Linked DNA regions of Styela clava. The protein of the gene in region 3 purifies or fractionates together with the protein of the main gene of each other region. This does not show direct contact. Links are inferred from orthologs where the notes say so. Each region holds a gene or a part of one and is shown on either strand. Other genes may lie near its edges.

The links. The genes of interacting proteins can lie anywhere in the genome.
Region 1: the proteins of calnexin-like (region 3) and uncharacterized protein LOC120336655 purify together in Homo sapiens (affinity purification with mass spectrometry; 3 studies listed by BioGRID and IntAct, with this or other methods). This does not show direct contact. The link is inferred for Styela clava from reciprocal best matches to the Homo sapiens genes CANX and LRRC59.
Region 2: the proteins of calnexin-like (region 3) and lysosomal acid glucosylceramidase-like purify together in Homo sapiens (affinity purification with mass spectrometry; 3 studies listed by BioGRID and IntAct, with this or other methods). This does not show direct contact. The link is inferred for Styela clava from reciprocal best matches to the Homo sapiens genes CANX and GBA1.

Annotation. Positions count from the first base shown.
Region 1 is NC_135251.1:14,800,922-14,808,743, reverse strand, and holds uncharacterized protein LOC120336655, read left to right. Parts: upstream 1-4,821; 5' UTR 4,822-4,957; coding exon 4,958-5,935; 3' UTR 5,936-7,807; downstream 7,808-7,822.
Region 2 is NC_135255.1:13,705,527-13,713,146, reverse strand, and holds the start of lysosomal acid glucosylceramidase-like, read right to left. Parts: upstream 3,002-7,620; 5' UTR 2,951-3,001; coding exon 2,851-2,950; intron 2,354-2,850; coding exon 2,153-2,353; intron 1,693-2,152; coding exon 1,549-1,692; intron 1,330-1,548; coding exon 1,196-1,329; intron 1,116-1,195; coding exon 943-1,115; intron 614-942; coding exon 466-613; intron 376-465; coding exon 233-375; intron 1-232. Other genes in the region: beta-1,3-glucan-binding protein-like, read right to left, coding at 3,692-3,773, 4,260-4,399, 4,507-4,723, 5,195-5,312, 5,569-5,627, 6,497-6,601. UniProt on the Homo sapiens protein: Glucosylceramidase that catalyzes, within the lysosomal compartment, the hydrolysis of glucosylceramides/GlcCers (such as beta-D-glucosyl-(1<->1')-N-acylsphing-4-enine) into free ceramides (such as N-acylsphing-4-enine) and glucose.
Region 3 is NC_135250.1:5,736,575-5,743,547, forward strand, and holds the start of calnexin-like, read left to right. Parts: upstream 1-3,948; 5' UTR 3,949-4,015; coding exon 4,016-4,144; intron 4,145-4,410; coding exon 4,411-4,490; intron 4,491-5,213; coding exon 5,214-5,348; intron 5,349-6,252; coding exon 6,253-6,400; intron 6,401-6,487; coding exon 6,488-6,556; intron 6,557-6,973. Other genes in the region: peptidyl-prolyl cis-trans isomerase FKBP9-like, read left to right, coding at 28-173, 681-847, 1,308-1,505. UniProt on the Homo sapiens protein: Calcium-binding protein that interacts with newly synthesized monoglucosylated glycoproteins in the endoplasmic reticulum. It may act in assisting protein assembly and/or in the retention within the ER of unassembled protein subunits.

The DNA.
Region 1 (7,822 bases), on a different chromosome or scaffold from region 3:
CACGCAAAGTTTAAAAACATTTTTGTGAGTCTATCTAGACCTGGGGCTTCATCCAGCGTCGTGAATTTGAAAGCCACAATTATTTATTCTACAGATCTTTCTTGATCTAAAATTGTCTTATTCAACTCCAAATTAAATGTTCTAAAATCTAAATTATATAACAAATTTATTGGATGAGTATAATTTTACATCTCCCTTTACATTGAAAAAGGCTTTTGCTCTTTTATCCTTTAAATCTGCAGCAATTCTTCCATTTTGTGTTTTCGAAGGTTTGAATTGTTTCAATTTGTCCCTTTATGTTTCTGAATTCAGGAAGTATTTTGGTGGCCCTTCAACTTTTTCTAATCATTTAGTCTTCGATCTCACAATTTAACCCTGCAGTTTGCTTTTACCAATAACATAAAGAACTTATCAGTTGCAACAAATTCTGTTTACATTCTGTACAATTATGACGTTTTATTGTATATTGGTGAGCATTCTCATACTTGTTTTTGAATTCTATTCTTCTTCCATTCTTTTCTATGCGCAAGTTATCCCCTCGCAAATGAATTGTTTTCAAAGTCGTTGGTGATACCAATTTTTTATTTTTGTATCTGCGAATAACCCATCAAAGTATTTTTGTTGACTTTCAACCTTCTAATCAACAATCTGTTTTCCTTCAATAATATTTGGGCATTGTTTATCGACATTTTTCGGCTCGGCCTGTTTCATAAAATTTGTTATTTGAAAAATGGTTTTGGTCTTCGTGTTCATATATTTAGGTTAAGACATTGCTTCATTGTATTTCTATTGCATTGTGGCGTATTCTACACATAGCAAGTCTGGGCTTGGAATATTAAGTCCTGTAGGAGCCAAGGAAAGTTTGAAAGTCTCCTTTCATATCTGAGAACAGTACCAAATGACCACACAGAAGAACAAGAGAGCTATGCTCAAATATATGGACACGTGGCGCCACATAGTGGCCAATTTTGATGACGTCCAGCACACAAAAAAACGAATTCCATGCAGCTCACGGGAATATTTGAAATGAATAAAAGTAATAGCCTTCTAGAAAAAAATTGAATCTTAATCAATGAAAATTTCAAAGCAATTGGTCCGGTAATTGAAGAGAAAGGCGATATTTTTCATAACGATACCAAGAAGAATATAAACAAGAAGAAGAAGAAGAGTGCCAGCATAAAATGCAAAACGATCGTTATCGTTGCTTATCAACAATAACAGTTCTCCAACAATCAAGTTGCTAAAACTTGGCTAATGTTTATATTTGAACCTTGGGTGTCGCTGCTTGATAACCAGCTTTGGTTCTCCGCAGCTTCCCCTCCCCAGTGAAATGTGTATTTAATATTATTCGTCATAATTTTGCATGTTTATCAAGTTGCTAAAACTTGACTAATGTTTATTTGGATATTTGAACCTTGGGTATCGCTGCTTAATAACCAGCTTTGGTTCCCCGCGGCTTCCCTTCCCTAGTGAAATGTGTATTTACTATTATTTGTTCGTCTTAATTTTGCATGGTTATCATTTTTACTGGATGGAAAAAATAAACTTGACTATGATTATGTTATGTCCACTAACGTGTCCAATAATTTAGCAAAATTATTGTTATCCATTGATTCACTTCATCTCCCTTGGCCGATACCGGCAAGAGCGGCCTGCTCTTTATATCATCCCAAACTCCGAGTGACTACCAGTATAGAGGACTTGCACGGGTCACGTGATTTTGTTTTCAGTTATATTCCACTGTTTTCAAAAGATTCGGAACGTCGCGCAATGTGGATATCATCTATTGGCAAGACTGCTTGGTGTCAAGTCCAGAAGTCATCTCGCTTGTGTTTCACTGTTTGCGGACAGCACTTCGTAGATGGTGAGTGATAATGTGCCGTTATCAATTTCTTTAAATATTCCTAAGCTCCCTCATTTCAATGGAAAGCGGATAACAAACTACTGTTATTGGTAGACTAGGCGTAGGCCTACTTGCTTGTCTACTTGCAGGTTTGACTTGTGTAAGGAATTAATCATCAATTGCCATAAGGTATTGTTTCCCTAGTTAGCAGGTAATCTATTAGTAAGTGTGAAAAGTTGAATAGATAACTAAAGTTTACCGCCAGTGCTATGCCATTCTATGTCGGGATTAGTTAGCCAGTTATTTGTTTTCAGAAGCATGGACTTAATGGTGGGGGATGTAGTAACCGACCAGCGGTCGTGTGAACCACCCTCAGTGGAAAGAGAGCTGCAATCCTCTCGCACATAACTATCCCCGCATGGGTTTGGAACCTGTGGAACTACCAGGGTGATCAGAGATGCGGACCACTGGCGTTAAACTTTAGTTATCTAGTCAACTTTTCTCACTTAGTAATAGATTACCTGCTAACCAGGGAAACAATACCTTATGGCAATTGATGATTAATTCCTTACACAAATCAAGTCTGCAAGTAGGCCTACCAATAACAGTAGTTTGTCATCTGCTTTCCATTGAAATGAGAGAGCTTATGAATATTAAAAGAAATTGTTAACGGCACATTATCACTACCCGTCAACGAATTGCTGTTCGCAAACAGTGAAACACAAGCGAGATGACTTTTGGACTTGACACCAAGCAGTCCTGCCAATAGATGATATCCACATTGCGCGACGTTCCGGATCTTTTGGAAACAGTGGAATATAACTGAAGATCCATTTTGTTGTCTATCTATACTATACTGACAGCCAACGGAACAATACGAAATAACCATTTCAACAGCCAAACAAAACGGAAACCAATGGATCTTTCCCCGACCTTTGAACCCCGAAAAATTCTTCCTATACTTTACCATTGCAAAATTTCCGGGGCTATTTTAAGAGTGCTTTTGCGAGTTGGCGCCCGTGAAATGAGGGTATGTGTTTCGAACCATCATTATGATTCATCGCATACAACAATCTGTTTTTTAACAGTACTGTTAAAGAATTTTAGCCTAGTCTATCACAGCTATTTCTACACTAATTTTCATTACGACAATTAAATTAAAACTCCTAGGAAGACAGGGTGACCATTGAATTATCTGATTTACATTTAAGTTTCCAAAACACAACTGAAAACTAACGAATGGAGTTCAAAAATGCGAAAACGAGGTAATGTTTACGACCACGCTTGAAAATCTGTCTGAGTGAGAAAAGTGTCTGAGCGGATGCGAAAAGGGAGCATTGTTACGTCACTTTTTGCAATTAGCTGATTGGCCAATGTCACGAAGTAAACAAGGAAGTCGATTCTTGGAGAAAGGTCCATAATTCGACTTGCAACTGAGTGAACTGACAGGAGCCAGCTGGACGTTTTTGTTTTTTTGCCGTCCAGTAAACAAAGTCACGTGACCCATGCAAATCCTATATATCAGCCAGTCTCGTTTTGCCGCTTTTGATTTGGCGGCGCGTGTCACATTGTAGTACTATGGTTAAGTAGTACAGCAGTAGAAGTAGACTAGTGTGGTGGTGTCTGATCCGAATGTTCACATGCAGACATAGGTGTACGTACAGACGTAGCTGAGCAGTTTTAATAAGCTTACTATTTGTTATTGAGACTAGTGGCGTTTCACACTGCAGCACTGGGTAATGATAATAAATAGGACTGTTCGAGCTCCTTTACAGATTTCAGGATTTATTAATTTGGTACTAGTATTCAATTTATCGATACCGTATTCAAAAAAAGTATGTCTTTATGTGGGCTAGGCTATGAGGCAAAAAAAATTGTGAAACATTTTATGTAATATGTTTCCCCATTAAAAATATTGCACATACACTGATACAGACATGTGATGTACGGGGGTCTTACTACTTACTGAATACAGCGCGAAACAGAGGAAAACAGATGGAAGCCAGCGCAAAACAGAGGGAAACAGCGCAAAACAGGAGACGCAGTCATTACCACCTCCTGCCACGAAAGAACCACGGCGCCTCTCGCCATGCAGCCATGGTTTTATGGCTCTATTTCCGGTACCGTAGTACCGGTATATTTACAAAGTTATGTACCGGATTATAGGTCATCATGCGAAATTTTATCTACCTTTTTGGTGCTCCAGAAGTATGTGCAGCAATATGTTGCACAACCTGAATCCGCCACACACACACATACTATTTTCAGGTTGTGCGCCATCTTGGTGCACATACTTCTGGAGGTCCCTTTTTACCTAACCCTAACCCTAAAGCCAACCATATCCATATGGAAAATGTTCTAAATTATGGTACCCAAAATGTGCCACCAGCAGGGGCAGACCTGCGATTACAGCATTTCTGGCTACATATGATGGTTTGTGTTTTTAATTTGCTGCCGTGGTACTCCAACTCAAAACAAGTTGCCCTGAACTCATTGCAAAAAATTTTTCTGCTTCACACTGTTTCCCTCTGTTTTGCGCTGTTTCCCCACTGTTTTGCGCTGTTTCCCTCTGTTTTGCGCTCTTTGTGGTGTTTCGCGCTGTATTCAGTAAGTAGTAAGACCGGATGTACGGTACTGATATATGACAACCGCTGCCACAAAATTTTTATAGTTTGTAAAAATTTGCCTTGTTCGTCTTCTGATCAGCGTTTTCAAATCTTAGATTGATTTCATAGTTATTGCCCGATTTTGTAGTGTGCTTCAACTGTTTTGGTGGACAGCCACTTACTCTTACGTTTTTTTTAAGGTTTTGCTTCCCCTCCAAAATTTTCCATTTTTAATTTGTGTAATTAGTGGAGTTTTTGAAATAAATTTATCTTTTGCGTTCAGTGTTGTTTTGTTTTATACCAGAGCAACCAAAATAAAATAATAATTGATTGATTGGACTTATTACTGTATTATCGTTATTCATTTTTAATGTTATGTTTGTTTTTAATAGATTGCGATAACGTATCTGATTGGCGTGGTAGTTGCAGCAGATAAAATATAGGAAATTTAGCTTGTATTTAGTTTTTCAATCAACTTTTCATTTCATTCGCAAGTTAGAAGATCACAATGTCGAGCGGGATCTCATTAAAAGAAATCCGAGATAAAGTAGAGGGAAATGAGATGGATCTCAGTCTAATGCAGATAACAAAAGTTCCTGTGAAAGAAATCTTGTCAATTGCTAAAGCGACATCAGTTGATTTATCCTGCAATCAAATCATCAGACTACCTGAAAATTTTTGTTCAACTTTGCATTATTTAATAAAACTTGACTTGAGCAAAAATCTACTTGAAGAATTACCTCATGACATTTACAAACTCTCTGCCCTTCAGCATTTGGATTTGTACGATAATAAATTGACGACGCTTCCTGTTGATATCTCCAGAATGAAAACATTGAAATATCTTGATCTGAAAGACAATCCTCTTGATCCCGTTTTAGTAAAGATTGTCGGCGGTTGTTTGGATGATAAAGAATGTAAAAAGTGTGCGACTCAAGTCATCGCTCATTTCAAAGTTCTGTCGTCCGACATGGAAAGAAAAAGACAAGAAGTATTGAAGAGGGATCGTGAAAAACAAGCATTGATAAAACAAGCAGAAGAGGAAGAAGAAAGGAAAAAGAACATTGAACGAAAAAAAGCGAAGAAGGTTGAAAAAGAAGCAAGGCGGAAAAGGTGGGAAGAAATACAGAGAGTAAAAGAAATAGAAACAAAAAAGCGCAAGAGGACAGATGAAAGCAGCAGTGAAAGTGAAAGAGATTCTTCTGATGATAGAAAAAAAGATCTTAGCAAGTCAAAATCTTGGCTTCTTAGTTTTTGGGGAGTTCTTCTGATGTCCATTTTAGCTGTGTTTGCCTCTGCAATAGGAATTCGTTTATATTGCCAAGAAAATGAAGCAAATGAGGAATGCATATTGGTACGAGATTGGACAAATAATTATAAAGAGGCAACAAGGGAACATCTGGGTGCATTCGTACAAAATGCCAAACAAATTGTCAATTTTGGTTTAGCAAAGTTGTCAGGAGTTGCAAAAAATCTAGGGTACTGATCTTACGTAAGCGTGCTATCATGGGCATGCTTTGATCCATCTATCTCTAGAAGATTTATTGTTATTAAAAATAGCAAATCGTCAAATATTTGATGGCAAATTCTTTAATGGATAGTGCTTGAAGAGTTCAGAATTGCAAAAAAATGTAATTTATTATAAATTATATATTCATTAGGCATATCCATATATATAGCCTACATAAATATATATATATATTTTATATGTTGAAACCTGTCATATCTCTGCAGCAGTGCCAAATTACTTTCTTTATCTTCTGGTTAGGTTTTGTGTGTCGTTTTTTATACTTTACCAACAAAACAACATGTAGTAGCCTAGTAAAGTTTATAACCTATTGCTAGTTTGGTCGTCTTTATTGTCAAAACTTTGTATTAATTCAGCGCACTGAAAGTGAATAGTATCTTTTTATGAATTAATGTGGTGGTGGTGTAAGTATAGCGTTGGTATGTTGTTTCATAGTTTGAGGTGCTTTATTGTTTTGCATTACATTTGTTCCAAGCAAAACCATTGTTATTAGGGCTTTATTGCATGTTCTGAATAGGATGTGAAAGTTGGAATTTACTTCGAGAACTACTCCAGACTCCTGCTGCACAGAATGTTTAGTCAACCAATTGCTCTTCTAGTTTTTGTTGGAAACTAGATTACTGCTATCAGAAGCCTGAAATTTCTATTTTGGTTCCTACTTCTGGGAGTTTGAAAACATGACAAAATCGGAATGGCACAAACTGCACAGTACTGGTTTTAACTGTAAATCACACTAGGCATTTCACATTAGAACAAAAATATCAAGATTGAACTTCCTATTGTCTTTTATTCATTATATTGTGGAAGTATGAAACGATAATGTGTATTATATTTGCTAACTGTACTTGTGATTAGGCAATTTTGTGTTCGATTTTTATTTTTTGAACCCAATATCAACAAAACAGTTGTTTATTATTTAAACTCAATGAGCAATTGTTAAATTTTATTGAAATTCTAATATTTCAGAATCTGTCTAAACAAGGTTTTTCACATACAAATAATTTGGTAATATAATACTAAATCACATTCATATAGAGATTATTTATATTGACTCGCTGTTGCGGTGTATTTAGGTCATAATATCTACCAGTTATGATATAAAACTCGATTCATCCCCATTATTCGGACATATCATTTTTTGCATGTTAGTATAAATATTTGCATTGTGTTTGTCTTTAATCTTATATTTGGTTATTTTAGTGCAATTATGTCTATTCCATTGATTTCTAATTTGACAGCCACTGCTTTAGTTCAAATTGCTTGCAAGTTCAATTAGTGCTTATTTTTGATGTTATTTCATGATATTTGTTATTATGGTGAGCTTAATTAGTATATAGAGATCCAGAAGTATATCTATATTTTAATGTTGCTATGTTGGGCCAGGTTATATTGGTTATTTCAAAGTGTAATGCTTTATAGGGTATATTATTGGTAATTGTGTGTGGCCATGCTCCCAATCAATGATATAATATAATGAATTTTTACTAATCCGTATCATATGACATGTGTATTTGACTAGTGCAATTAAAAATTAAATCTTTTTTTTTCATTGCCAAAAGCTGGTGCTATTCGATACCACAAAAAAGAAACAAATTTTGTCTCTTCCCAGTGCCACCAAATTTTCGTGTACATGAAGAAAATAAAAATATTTTTTTGTTTTTTATTCTACTCGAATAAAACTGCCTAAATTGTCATCCACGATAGTTTTGTCTTTCTATTGAGCTTCAGTCTTTCTTTTCATTGTAACCTGGTCTAATTGTAGGATCATTAACCTGCATAAGTTTATACTAGTTCCGTGATATGTGATAAATTTATTACTTGTTATCAGAATTTGTATCAACATCT
Region 2 (7,620 bases), on a different chromosome or scaffold from region 3:
ATATCACTAAAAGAGTTGCAAGCTACAACTAATGTGAAGTCACTAGTAATTAGTAACACGTGCTTCGAAATAAGTCAAGCTTGCCTATAACACGCAAGATAAAGTGGCTTCCACAACGCGAAAAATTGTTTGCGAGGTCTATTCTTCCGAAAATCGGTCGATCAAGATAGAATTCTTTTAATTCAAATAAAACTGTATTTATTAAATACAGATATTTATAAACTAAGTTTACCAATGAATTGCTATTCCGTCAACATAGTCGTTCACGACTGAATCATTCAGGACAACCTTTGGCCATTCCGGTAACAACAATCTTTGATCATCCATTATCATCAGTGTTACGTCGCCGTGACCTCGGTTTTCTAGTGTTGGACCCTACTCAATAAAATGGGAGAAATTGTATGTCAGTATTTTCTTTTATAGTTTTATTAACAGTATACAAAAGAATACGAACTAATTTATTACCAAATCTAGTTTTATGAAGTCTCTCTGCTGAATATCACTGAATCCCATGCACTGAAATGGAAAATTCTGAATATTCCCAGCACTTGGTTCATTTTGCGCTGTTAATCCCCAGATGTCTACACCGTTCTTTGTATATTCTTCTATAAATCTATATAATACATAAAATCAAGACAGAACGTGTTCGATGAATCTATTACATAATTACAGAAAGAAGTTATTGTAGCGATTTCAATTACTGTACACTTGAAATATAATAATAAACACGTGGATCGAAATGTTAGTTTTTCATAAATAGGATCTATTAGTTTGAAAGAAGTGTAAGCTTATCCCCATTCTCGACTGACTAAAATGAACAATACCTGGTACTCCTGAAGTATGCGCACTAAAATGTCGCACAACCTGAACCCTAACCTGGTACACAACCTGAGTTCAGGTTGTGCGCCATCTCGGTGCGCATACTTCAGGAGGTCCCAATACCTTGCAAAATACAGAGCCCAAGTGTGATAGTATGGTCCACCTGGTTCCCCTTTCAAACTTCCCTTTCCGATAAGGTCATTGTTTGTTTTCATCCAAGCGGGTGCTGTCCAAGGGCTGGCATAAAAAGACATCTTTCTTTTATTCATTGCCACGGCCTTCTTTATGTATGGTATCTTCGAAGATGTAAAGAAACGAAAGATTTTCAACAGCAGTCGATTATAAATTTAACATCAACTTATTTAAATGAAATTACTTTGTAAACAAAATCTTCACTTGCTAACGAAAAATTTGTTAGGGCGAAATCATTCTCGAAATCATTGTACGTGTATCCTCGAGTTGAAAAATCACAACTTGCTATAGGAATTCGACCCATGTTATATTCGATACCTGGAAAAGTTGAAGTGACCTTGTTACAGAAATGTTATAATACCAAGAGATAATACATAAAATTATGAAAACTGACATTTATAATTGAAATCAACAAGCAATACACGTTTTTTAAACCGTTCAAAATGATTTATATACATATACTGTTTGCGAGCTTTTGAATTCTAACCACACAAAAGGATCGTAGCCTATGGTGTACATAAATATCAATAAACTTACCCTCTGGTGAAAAATATGACCTCAATAAATTCTCTTGAGCCTGTTGAGGTAAGCTTGCAATATTTATTCCAGCAGCATCCGTGAATGCACCGCCGAAGCCTTTAATTGTCTGCAACCGTTTACCAGAATTGACTGTTATTGTAGCTGAATGAAACAATAACATACATATTTACACAAAAAGGGATAAAACCAGGATAAAACTCTTCATAAAACACAAACGCCGAATGTTCTGCGGCTGGAAAAGAGCACTTGATTAATTGTTGTTGTTCGGGGTCTTGTTGAATGAATTGAAATATTCTCACAATGCAAAATTTTAGTTATTTAACATTTTAGCGAAACAATTGAAATTTCAAGTTTTCGCATAGCTTGTTAATAACAGTTCTTAACATAAACTGTCGGATTACGATTTTATGCTAGATGAGAAAAAATTTAGGTGTTCATACGGGCTACACTAAAGGGCCTGTCGGGTCAGTTGTGGCCCGCGGGTCGCTTGTTGCACATCCCTGGTTAAGTCATTTGACCTTGTGTCCACATTTGTGTGCATCTCTCATATATATAGACTATGTTAGGAAATGAACAATTCAAATAATATTTAATTCCTTACCTACATCACTTTGCGATAGAGAGCGAAATTGATTCGATGTCTCGTTGAAACGAAGTCCACTCTGACTCGATGTATAAATAATTATATATCCTTCAGGATATGAATCTGGAAGCGGATCGAGTGTATCGCAATATGTTGAGTTACATACACAAACCATACGATCTTGATCAAAATATTTCGGCTCACATGTTCGACGTTGTTCTAAAAGCAAGCGAAGGCAATTCGGCGTAAGCAATGACTTAAGCAGATAACATTGCCACTCTCGTGGGCTATTCTTGATTTTAAGACCTTTCATTATGATGCTCAGACTGAACCTCTAAACTATTTCTCGGAATGTTGGAAATTATCGAAAAAATTGGGTTTCCAGCTTGTGAATTTCCCATTTAAAAATAAATATTCCAAAATATTAATTTTTGTGTACGGTTACTTCCAGTGTACCTTCAATGCTATTTTCATTCTATTGCTGGCGATGCCAATGAAGAGAGCTTCAGGTGATTATCGCCAACCACATTCATCTAAATTTGGGGTTGGCATGGTTTAAATTTCTTCTTTGACTTATTGTAGAAAATATATATATGCTTCCGATAAAACGAATGATATGACTTGTCATAAATAGCCTACGTGACTTTCCCCACCGAAATATGTATCGAACATTATTTCACAAATATTCAAAAAAATTACCATACAAAATAACATACGTGGAATAGATGAAGGCATCAACAATACAAGCAGCAACGAAACAACTCCTGCAATCACAATGCTGCTCAATATTAAGCTATATCCCACGACTGACTTCATTCTTCGCTTCTATTATCGTTGAACTCCACACTAAAATATCGTCTTCCTATCACGTACTCATCATGTTTTAATTTTTATCGCTATGTGTAATGAAACATTACGGATAAGTTGCATAATTTCTGTCAATTATTAATCGAAATTATCCACTAAATATTGTTTGATTTATTTCATCATGGTTGATTATAGACTAAATGAGGATTATTGACTGACACTGTTCATAGAATGATGATATATATACTTCCGCCTTAACGAATCATGGAAGCCCAACACAAGGTTTACGAATAAGAATGCACTCCCCGAGTCTCCGTACATACATTTTCAACGGTTCTAAAATAGACATTTTATGTACCTTTCGCTTCAGTGTCTAATACAACTTCTCAAGTTTTCTAGTTGACTGATTCTTTTATTGGATATCAGAAATCCAGATATCAAATATCCAGAAATCATTAAGACTAATTGTAATGCTGCACTGGAAACTTTTAACAACAAAAATATGAAAAAAAATTGAATGCTGTATTTACTTATAATTTATTACCATTTATATACATTTGTAAATATGTATAATCGGGAAAAAGTTTCTGAGGTAATTTACAACAACATTTGTTGATTTCCAAGATTACAGTGAAATGAAGTTGAGACGTCCGAAACAGCGTAGTCTTCGATCCCCGACTAGTGTGTTGTTGTTGACATTTACATCAATTATTACTTACAAATGAATTATCTGGTGGAGCGACTTCATATTTATTTAGCCCAAACTTTAATACTTCTGACTTGCATAGCAGCGTTCTCACCATTGTCAACGTCTGGCTGCCATGATGGATACCTATAGTAAAAGAAAAACAAATTTAATAGGGGCGATACATTTTGATTTAACTTTAATAGACAAATTAATTTTTTTTTTAGTTTTTACTAAACATCAAGCTTTTGACAATTACTACACTTATATATATACTCGTCACGATCACGATGAGCCAAAAATATTGGAATTCTCGATATTCACTATACGGGAAACCAGAAAAAATATTGTGCATTTGAGACCTAAAGATAGATTCCGAAAAATTTCTTTTTTATCTCAATTGTCTCTGACTTTTTCGATGACATTCGCGTAGAGGAATTGGTCCCGCGAACTATCGCTGTTTCATATCTATTTAACTCACTTCTTTCTAACTTTTCTACATCTCTGTTTTTTTTTATTAATTAATAACTAACAACTGAATACTCCCACGCTTCATTGTTTCCGGGTAGGAAAATTACATTCATTGAGGCTCTTCAACATTTTGGTATTATTGGGAATGACTTAATTACTCACCATTCGTCTTTTTTCAACCAAAAATCTTTCATTGCCGTTGGTGAATCATTTTTCCATGGCTTTTCGCGAGGTGCATTTATCCAAGAATCTGGGAAAAATCCATTGGTGCCGCCGACAGCCACATTTATGAGAATATAGAACTAGAAATAATTGTTGAAAATACTGAATAAACCATAATTAAACAATCTAAACAAACGAGCAATAACTGAATGTTTTATTATCATGTTAAATTACTTCCAAAACTTACTTCTTGATCAAATGGTGTCATTTTGTTGTTAGAATTCGCCCATGGATTATCGATACCCGGTGCTTCTTTTTCAAATTCACCATAATCGAAAAATCCTCCAGGTCCCGGATCAACTCTTCGCAGCAATTTACCATCCACAAACAAATCTATATATTCTGCTGTCCAATCAACAACCCATGTGTGAAAGGCCGATGCGTACGTTCCCGAAGCCGGATGACTGTGCCAGATATATATTATTGTAGTATATAAATGAAATGGAATTAATGATTCAGCTCATATTTTCTCTATATTTTTTAATTTTGCTCGTCTTTACATAACGTTAAGAAAACTTGGAATAAAATATCACGAAGATGAGAAGATTCAATTAAACTCTGTAAGCTCTTTGATGTATAATTTAGGTGCAAATTTATAACGCAACCAGATTCGAATTTCGAACATTAATTAAATTATTGGACGCCATTGAGTACGAAAAGAAGAAAGAAGCTAATGTGGAATGCTTAAACTGTGTGTCTATAGATTAGGATTTCGTCTAATAAAGAACGATAAATCGAAAATTTATTCTAAGTGATTCAAGAGTCTTGCTGCACGCTAAAATATATTTCTGTAACGTTTCGTTTAGAAGGATGAGTAGTTAGTCCCACAGAAACCGAATCATTATCGAAAATTTATATTCCTGCTTATGACAGACCTTTCGATTGTTGTCTTTGGATATCCGTTCAGTGGAAAGTAAGGTCCCCAATGTAGAGTCATACCCATATTGTCACGACCTTTAGAAACGCCTTCAGCATCTGTGAGATTTATATTTCCTAAAAAACAAAGAATGATGACAAAATTAGAATCATTAGTGTAACATAAGTGTGAAATGAACGCCCGTTATGTACCTCATGATATGTATCTTTCATTCGGATTATCATGTGACGTGTATTTCCAAGTAAGAGAAAATGCAACCCCTGTTTGAATGACTAAATATTAACGAACAATAATATCAAAATAGTGAGATGGCAATCGAATAAATTGAAAAACGTATTTGGGATTATAACGTAAAAGCTTGGACTCACTCACCTCTTGATTCTATAATGTCTATCTCTCCAGATGCTGGCCATCCTCCGTACCTATTGTCTCTGTTAAAGTAAATTCAAATTTGACATCAGGTCGTTCCAAAGCAACAGGCCTCATTTTTAATTTGGTTAACTCGTTATAGGGTTTATTAAAATTACATAATGATATTGTGTGTTACTTTACTATATTTCTATTTAGAAAACCTTTCTTGAGTTCTAGAATGTTTTTTAATTATGGTCCGCAATTTATGCACCGATATAGAGGGTATTTGTTTTTATGTATTCATAACTCTCTTGTATTTATTTATTTAGACTTAGATTAGTGTGGATATAGATAAAACATTTCAACGTTGAATTGCATGCCTATTGACTTTTGGCAATGAAAACGTGAGTGGTTAGGTAATTGCATTATTCATACAAGGTTGAACTTTATGAAAAACAGTCAATAACTACGCGAATATATAGGGCCAACGTCAATTGGAAAATTTCATTTCAAATTGAAGTGTGAATTTTGATTTTCTACTTATCATGCCAGTAGTCCTCAAAAATTGAGGATATACAATTATATATATTCATAGTTTAACCTCCATATTTTCCATCGAGACTGTGAAGTGGGGGAAAAAAATTACTACAGCACCAAATCCTGAGCCATTACTGCTCCAGCTCCAAATCCAAAGTTGATGCACCTTTGGTGACAAATTCAAGATTTCTAATATCTGCCAGTGTGACGTTGATACTTGGGTCATATTTTAAAACCCATCTCAGTCTCGCATTGAGCGTCTACAGGCATACGTCTCAAGCATGCTCATATGACCATCGATTTTGTAATGGTTGTCGAAGTAGATATAAAGACTTTCAAAAAGTTCAAAGTTCAAACACGAGCACTCTCCTCAAGTGTTAAAATAACATATATAAATGTTTTAAATTCTCACCTGGGTAACATCCATATCGCAGGCCACAACCAGTCCCCACTAGGCATCTTAGCCACAACTTCAATTCGTCCGTATTGGATCGCAAATGAATTCACAGAACGTATTCTGAATATGAAATGTCTATTACGCTACTGAATATATAAGATTCGTGCGATTGCAAGTAAAATGACATTTTGAGTAAAAAAATGCACATATCAATCGCGCCCATATATGAGAACAAATGAATTTGACTAATTTAACACGCTATTATTCCGTGTCAATACTCCCGCATATTATTAGCGCTTTAATGCATGGCGGGTCAAATTCAAAACATCTCTTTTGGGTCACGTGTTGTTTTTTATATTGGTCCACTTGGTTATGCTATTGAGTAACGTAGATTCTTTGCATCTGGAACGCATTCTCTCTATTGTGCAATAAACGGAGGAGATAATAGGAGATAATTCGTAATAGTGGGGGTATTAGCAAGGAAGAGGCCTAGCTTAGCAGTTTTTAACTATTTCTTCAGCATTTCGAAATATTTAGGTGGTAATGCGTGTGACAAATTTGGCACATCATGCATTTGGGGGAATAAAATTTTAAGTGCTCAGGCTGTGTTTTCTTGATTCACTGGCGTGAAGGTTTTCATATGTTCAGTAATTGAGTATTTTTAGTTCGGAATACCGTTTATATAAGTATTTATTTAGATATTAGTATTTAATTACTCGGTTATTCTCAAATCCAGCCATCAAAAAAATCTGGGTTGTTTCCTGTAGCCCTTGGCAATTAGTTTCGACATTTTGATAAGTAAAATTTTTAAACCCCATTTGACTTCTAAGCCAGTAGACTAGCTGCTAAATTGTCACCTGCGAGGTTAAACCAAGGTTTAGTAGTTGGTTGTTGTTAGTTTTTTAATATTATTAAGTCATTTTGGTTATGACATGATAGTTTGAACGCAAATTAAAATGTACTTGAATACTGAAATAAGTGCATAGGCGTGAAGAAACACTGTTTTTAGATTTAGATCTCGGTACCTATTAATTATTGTCAATTCATGGCTTTTTTTACAATAGAGTACAACTCTTGTAATCCGCTTCCAATAAAAGATTTCCGCACTGAAATCTCTACATGTCAGTACATAGTGCCAA
Region 3 (6,973 bases):
TTATCTAATATAGTTTCTTATTTACAGTAAGAACAGAGAAGGGACTTGGGCAACGTACAACGGAAGAGGTCGAGTCATACTTGGTCTTCAAAATATGCTAACAGGAATGTGTGTAGGGGAGATCAGAAAAGGAGTTGTACCACCTCATCTCGGTTTTGGAGAACCTGGTGCAGGTAGAGTTATACAGCGGAGGTTTTGATTTCAAACATAAATCTCCCTGTTTTAAGTTTGTGAATATTGGATATAGGGTACTCCCGTAGTTTGTTAGGGTAGGCCATAATTTTATTCCGATTTTTCTTATTTTAGTTCTATTACGAGTTCGGGGAATATCTGTGTTAGCCAAATGAAAATACCCCCTGCCCATAGGCTTTCACATCTTTACACAGCGTGATGTAAAGTATGCGAACAAAATTAGTAACACAAACTTTTGGAGCGTCGAATAAAGACCCCTGCACATTGAGTCGAGGGTAATCTGAATCTCAAGTCGAGTCCAAATTTGAGTCAATTCCTCTGTTGTGTCTCACTGGTGGTTATTCGATATTGATTCCAAGTCATTCCATTGAGTGTTCAATAAATTGTGACTCTGGTCCTACTCAAGTCGAACTCGAGTCCCCCCAAATCTGTTTTTATTCATTAAATAATTTTGTTTTTCAATCTTTTATCAAATTTGTTTCATTCAGATGGTATACCTGGTAGTGCTGTTCTGGTATATACTGTGGAACTGCATAAAATTGAAGACTCTCTACCTAACGGAATGTTATTCATGTGGAAGGAAGGCAAATCTGAACCTGAGAATCTTTTCTCGTTGATTGATGATGATGCCAATGGAAAAGTTTCTATTGATGAGGTACACAATGAAAACATTTTATGTAACAATAAATATCATTTTTGATTTTTGAAGTTCAGTACTTACGTAATCTAGACACAATGCAATAGACTTAACTATGCTGACATCGCAGGTTTGAAATCTTGGGTTGAAATGCCATGCCCACCATCTCACCTGGGGGTGTAATAAGCCTGGTAATGCCGAACTGGAAAAATGTTCGTTTCACCAAAAACAGTAAATTTTACATATTAGTGGATGCTTGACATATTTGGGAGTGATGAAATGAAAATGTATTAAAAATCTTGGTTTACCAAAAAAGCATACAATACTCGCCGACAATTGTTGGGTAACTAAAATTCCCAATCTTTTTCGATTAGATATTGGATTTCGAACTCTGGGTATCAGTGCGCCATAGCCAGTTTTGGTTCTACACAACTTCCCTTTCTCCAGTAAAACTTATCTTTCGATATACTTCCTGCAGTTGATGTCATACATTGTTAAAGAAGTTGACGCTGGTAACGGCAAACTTCTTCCTGGTGCTGAGAAGGAAAAAACGATTGAAAATCTATTCAAGGTGATGGATAAAGATGAAGATGGTTTTCTACAAGAAAAAGAGCTGGAATTTCCGACTCCACAGTTTGAAGGCATCATAGGAGAGAAAGTTGATGATGAACTGTGACTTCTCAATATTTCTTCAATAGGAAATTTTTTATTTTTTTGAAGATAAAAATTCCACTGCCAACTATCAATCAAAACTATGAAATTTAATACATTTTCTGTAAAGGTGCTAGTGGGTATTACTATATAATCAAATACACAATTATAACAAGTGTAGGCATTTTTTAAATGATCAGTGTTGTTTAGTCGTAATTGGAATTTAGAGTTAAATTTCGTTGATGTCACTGCAAAAATCATTGAAAGTTGAAGTTATTCTTAAGTTGAAACTTTTTTAAAATTTTTTGGGGTTTGGTATAACACTATCTGTTAGTTTATTGTTGCCATATACTGATTTCACCTTAATCACTGCTCTGTTTATATTGTTTCAATATCAGCATATTGCCTATTAGGATCCATTCCAAATATTCTTTATCATGTTATAATTGTAGAACAAGTATGAAATTTTCATTTACGTATTGCAGTTTGCACAACTGAAGTCTTATTTGTAAGCAGTATTAACTTTTTTACTTTCGAATGTGCCAATAAATTCATCAATTTTGCAAACTTTTGATATTAATTTTGAGCTATCTTTGGGGTTATGAAGACCGATTACAGATTGCGATAGACGGTCCCTATCCATCATCCCCAACAGGTAAAAATAGAAATCTTATTCTATGAATTATCATATTTATAATGGGAAAACAAGTTCTCGACGTCTGATTTTTACATACATTTGTGTAATACGATGTTAACACTACTATTCATGTAGAAAAGTATGGTTTGTACCCAGAAATCTCAGTAAAATAGGGCGCTTTGCACGAGAGTTATATTTTCTGTAGCTTTTGTTCCAAATGACCGGAGTTCTGTTGTATCAAAATCAGGTTAGGCATTATCGCATTGAGTTTCATAATTTATATTCTACGTCACAGGGTGAGATTGCACATACCATTATTCTCACCTGATTCGAAATCATGGCGAATTTCCGCCGTATGTGATTGTTGCATTGTAAGTATTACCGTATTTTGTGCCACGGCTGAGTTAAATCCCTATCTATCGTAAACTTGTCGCCAGACACCGTACGCTCTGTTTCGCGTAGTTTTATTTAGTAATTCTTATCTGCGTGGAAGGGATTTAACAGCAGGTAGTCGTCAATGTGATTTATGTCAACATTTTAATGTCTTGAGCTAACAAATGGCGCAAGAATTACGCATACTATCCATGTCACGCCGTGTAAATTTAAATCGGACATCGACCACTCACAGATCACCACGCATCGAGGAATAAATTAAACAAACACTATCACGTGCTTGGTCTCGCATGAATAGTGAGGAAGCGTGTTTCGCGTGATAGGGATTTTCAATTCATATTGCCAGATATTACTGTATTACATAAGTATAAAATGATAGAATATACATTTTATTAGTTATTCACGACCATGTCATGAGCAGTAAACAAGTTTTAGGCCTGTATTTTATTTAACGTAATAGCTGGTCCCTGGTGAAATCATGGAATAAGTTGGAGAAACCCAACGACCAACAGCTAAATTCTACTACCGGTACTGCACTACTGAAATAAGAAAACTTTCGATTTTTGTTGAGCTACTGCTTTGGAATGAATTCACGGTTTAGGCTATGTACAACGCGATGGCATTATTTGGCCCATTTCTGTTAATCGATATTAGGGTAGATACTGAGATAGAGGTTCTAAAGAAGAGATGTTGGGATGTAAATTTTAAGTTCATTAATTTTGAATTTACCGTTTTGAATTACAGAATTAGATTACGGTAGTTGATCAATCGGTTGACAGGTTTAGGATAGGATTTAACTATTTATCCCGGGGATAGGAAAGCCGATAAGAAGGCTGGCGAACTCTTGTCCGGTTACCATTCCGGCATTCCACGTTGGGTATGCAGGTATGGGATTAGTTAGTTATTTGTTTTCGGAAGCATGGACTTGGAGCAATGGCATCTAGAACTTTAGAAGCAAGTGGAAACCCTGGCCTGCTAGCTGATTACCAAATTCTTTTCATTCCAGTAATAGAGTCTGAGAGCGTTGGTATGCATAGTCGTTTGATATCATTACATGAGCAGATGAAAGTGGGTACCACAGTGTTCATTTCAGCATTTATGCACCGTACTGGTAGGGGTATGATTTCTCAATTTTGCACTGGATCTGCCAATTAGAATTGATATTTATTTCCAAATCTCGCTCTTTTCTGCTTGGCTATTGTAATTCTGTAGTATAAGCAGAATTTGCTGCTCTGAAATGTACAAGAAATGATATATATAATTCTGTAATTCGCGATTTGAGAGTTTTTTAAATATTGAAATCATTCGGATAATTTTGTTAACCCCAATTCCCGAATTCAAAATTAAAACTGTAATTCTGTAATTGAATTATGTGAGCTATAGTAAAACTTTAGGGCTTCAACTATCAGATATTATTAATTTATTTACTGATTTTCTTTTTTATTTTGAAGTAATATTTAATAATATTTAGTAATTCCACATGAGTCAATAACCCAGGATTAAAAATGGTTGTCATTAAATTTGGATTAGTATTTCTTTTAATTTTGTTCTCTGGATTCGGCTTGAACATGGCCGAGGATGATGATGAGGCAGAAGTAGTTGTTGAAGAAGCAGTTGAAGAACCAGAATCCACAGTAAGATTCTTCATATTGTAGAATTTTAAGGGGTATTTCCTCAACCTTTGACCTCCAGAAATTCTTCCTATAGTAACTAGACTGCAATTTGCCCTTTTTATTGTTTTATTGTAATCCAAATTGTTATTTTTTATAATCTATAAATGCTTTGAATCTATGGACTGATGGATAATAATCGTAACAGCATTTTACAGCACCATCATATTAAAAGAATTCTTTATTTTGTTCTGTATATTATTCGTTAATACGAACTATTTTTGTTCCAGATAACAAAATATGAGAAACCGGTTCCCAAAGGCCACGTCAACTTTGCAGAACCTTTCGATAAAGCAGATTCTATTAATGGGTATGATAAATGCAGTAATTTCAATTTGAATATTTATTGAATGGTTGTTAATTAATTTTTATCTTGATTTTCATCCGTACTTAGCATAAGAAACATCGTAATTGTAATGCTAAATTAATTGCAATGGGTTGTGGAGGTCCCATCTTACTGTTATATAATCACAGTCTGGTTACAACTTCACTCTTATATGAGCCGAGTGCAAAGAACGCCTTGTTGTTGCTGCTGACTACGAAGCAGGGGTTGGCAATTACCAGTAGTGGAAGTTTGAATTAGGGCATATAAAATTGGTAACATAATATTCAACTCATGAAATACTTCTGTACTTATTGGCCATGCATGTATCATTGCGAATTCACGACACTGAACGTCATTTGGCAAAGGGAAGCAAGGGACATACAATACTGGAATTCAATGAATGGTGTTCTGCCATTAACAACCTTCGTATAGTTGTGTATTGAACCTTTGACCCGATGTTCAACTGTTACCAAGGGATTCCCACACCTAGACTTGTAACCAGATGAGAGGCACCTTTTCTTGCCTCCAGTTTTAGTATAAAAAATCTTATTCTAAATACTGGTTATTTATTGCCATTATGATATAACAAATAATTACTTTTAGTTTGTTTTTATGGCTTTTCATTTTCGTGCTTTGCTTGAGCTTCCAACAAAATTTGAATTTTTTTGTAATGCATATAATATTATTTTAATTTTTATTGTGTTTTAGTTGGAAAATTTCTGAAGCAAAAAAAGATGGTGTTGATGAAGAAATATCAAAATATAATGGTCGTTGGGAAGTTGTTCAACCCATTACACCACTGTTAGATGGCGATTTGGGATTAGTTTTGAAAGATAAAGCGAGGTTAGTATTTTGGTACTCTTGTAATAAGTGTACCAGGTTCGGGGACTGTTTGTGTTATCCAATTGAATATACCCCCTGCCCGTAGGCTTCCGTCCCTTTACATAACTTGATGTAAAGTAGGCGAACATAACTAGTTACTTCTATATTGGTAAGCATACTTCTGGAGCGCCATTATTTTTAGTGGCATTTCATTTGCAATGTCATTTTTGCATTCCTGTATATTTTTAAATTTTGAAGAGGAGTTACTGTTCCTGTCTCAATTCAATTTGAAACCCATCCGTTTTTAAACAGTTCGCAGTTGACATCTGACTTATGATATGGTTATTCTAATGCAATATCCTGAAATGACTCATTTGTCAGTCTATCTGTAACCGGTTTGGATCTAAACTGTATACATCAGCATTGTTTGTATATACGTTTGTGTTTGCTGTAATTACTGTTGGAATGCATCATTGTTCAGTATTGTATACAACACTTATTCGGGCTTTTCCCTCTGTACAAGGCCATGTAGGCATCCACTGATATTCAATGACATTTTTTTGAAAGTCTGAGATCTTTCTTGTTCCTTATTGTTTACTCAATTTATTATGCTGTTGTATAAAACAATAAAATATATATTAATAGGTGCTCCAAAAGTATATAAACCAATATGGAAGTAACTACTACTGATGTAAGTAACCTACTTTACATCAAGTTGTGTAAAGGGACTGAAACCTATGGGCTGGGGTTATATTCACTCGACTAACACAGACAGTCCCCGACTCGTAATAGAACTAAAATAGGAAAAATCAGTATCAAATTATGGCCTATCCCTAACTTGGTACACATACTACGTGAGTACCTTTTAATTTTTGTGATGCAACAGATCTTTATAAATTATAAATATAATATGTCTTTATTTTAGACATCATGCAATTTCTGTCGACCTGTCAAAGCCATATGAATTTGATGGAGAACCATTTGTCATGCAGTATGAAGTCAATTTCCAAAATGGAATCGAATGTGGTGGTGGCTATGTAAAACTCCTTTCAAAAACTGAAGATGTTACCTTAGTAAGTTTTTATCAATAAAACGTCAATTCTCTTTTCTATCAATATCGTAAAAGCATTTTCAACAAACCAACTATTTTACATTTTCAGAAAACTTTCAACGATAAAACACCGTACACAATTATGTTTGGGCCAGACAAATGCGGGGAAGATTATAAGGTAAATTTTCTTGTTGACGTAGTTCTGTTTTAAATTGAATATGGATTTGAATTCTAGATGTCTGTACAGAGAAATCGAACATTTTGGCAAAATGTGGAGTCGTGTAAAAATCACACTTTATTCCAAGCCATTCAACAATGGCATAGATTTTAGAGTTGGACTCTAGTCTTGAACTCCAAGAAAAGCAAATTTGTTTGAATAGAACTCTTAGTCAAATTGATGGTTTCAAAATCACAGGAGTCATAATTTTTGATTCTTTAGAATAGTGATGTGGAATTTCAGGTGTTGATAATTTAAGGAAAAATGTGCATACACAAAAGATTTTGGTAGCAAAATGAATATTTTCGAATTTCTGTCCATCCCATCCAAATGTCTGTATCTTAATGTCTGTCTAAGTCAAATTTTGTAGCCAGAGTT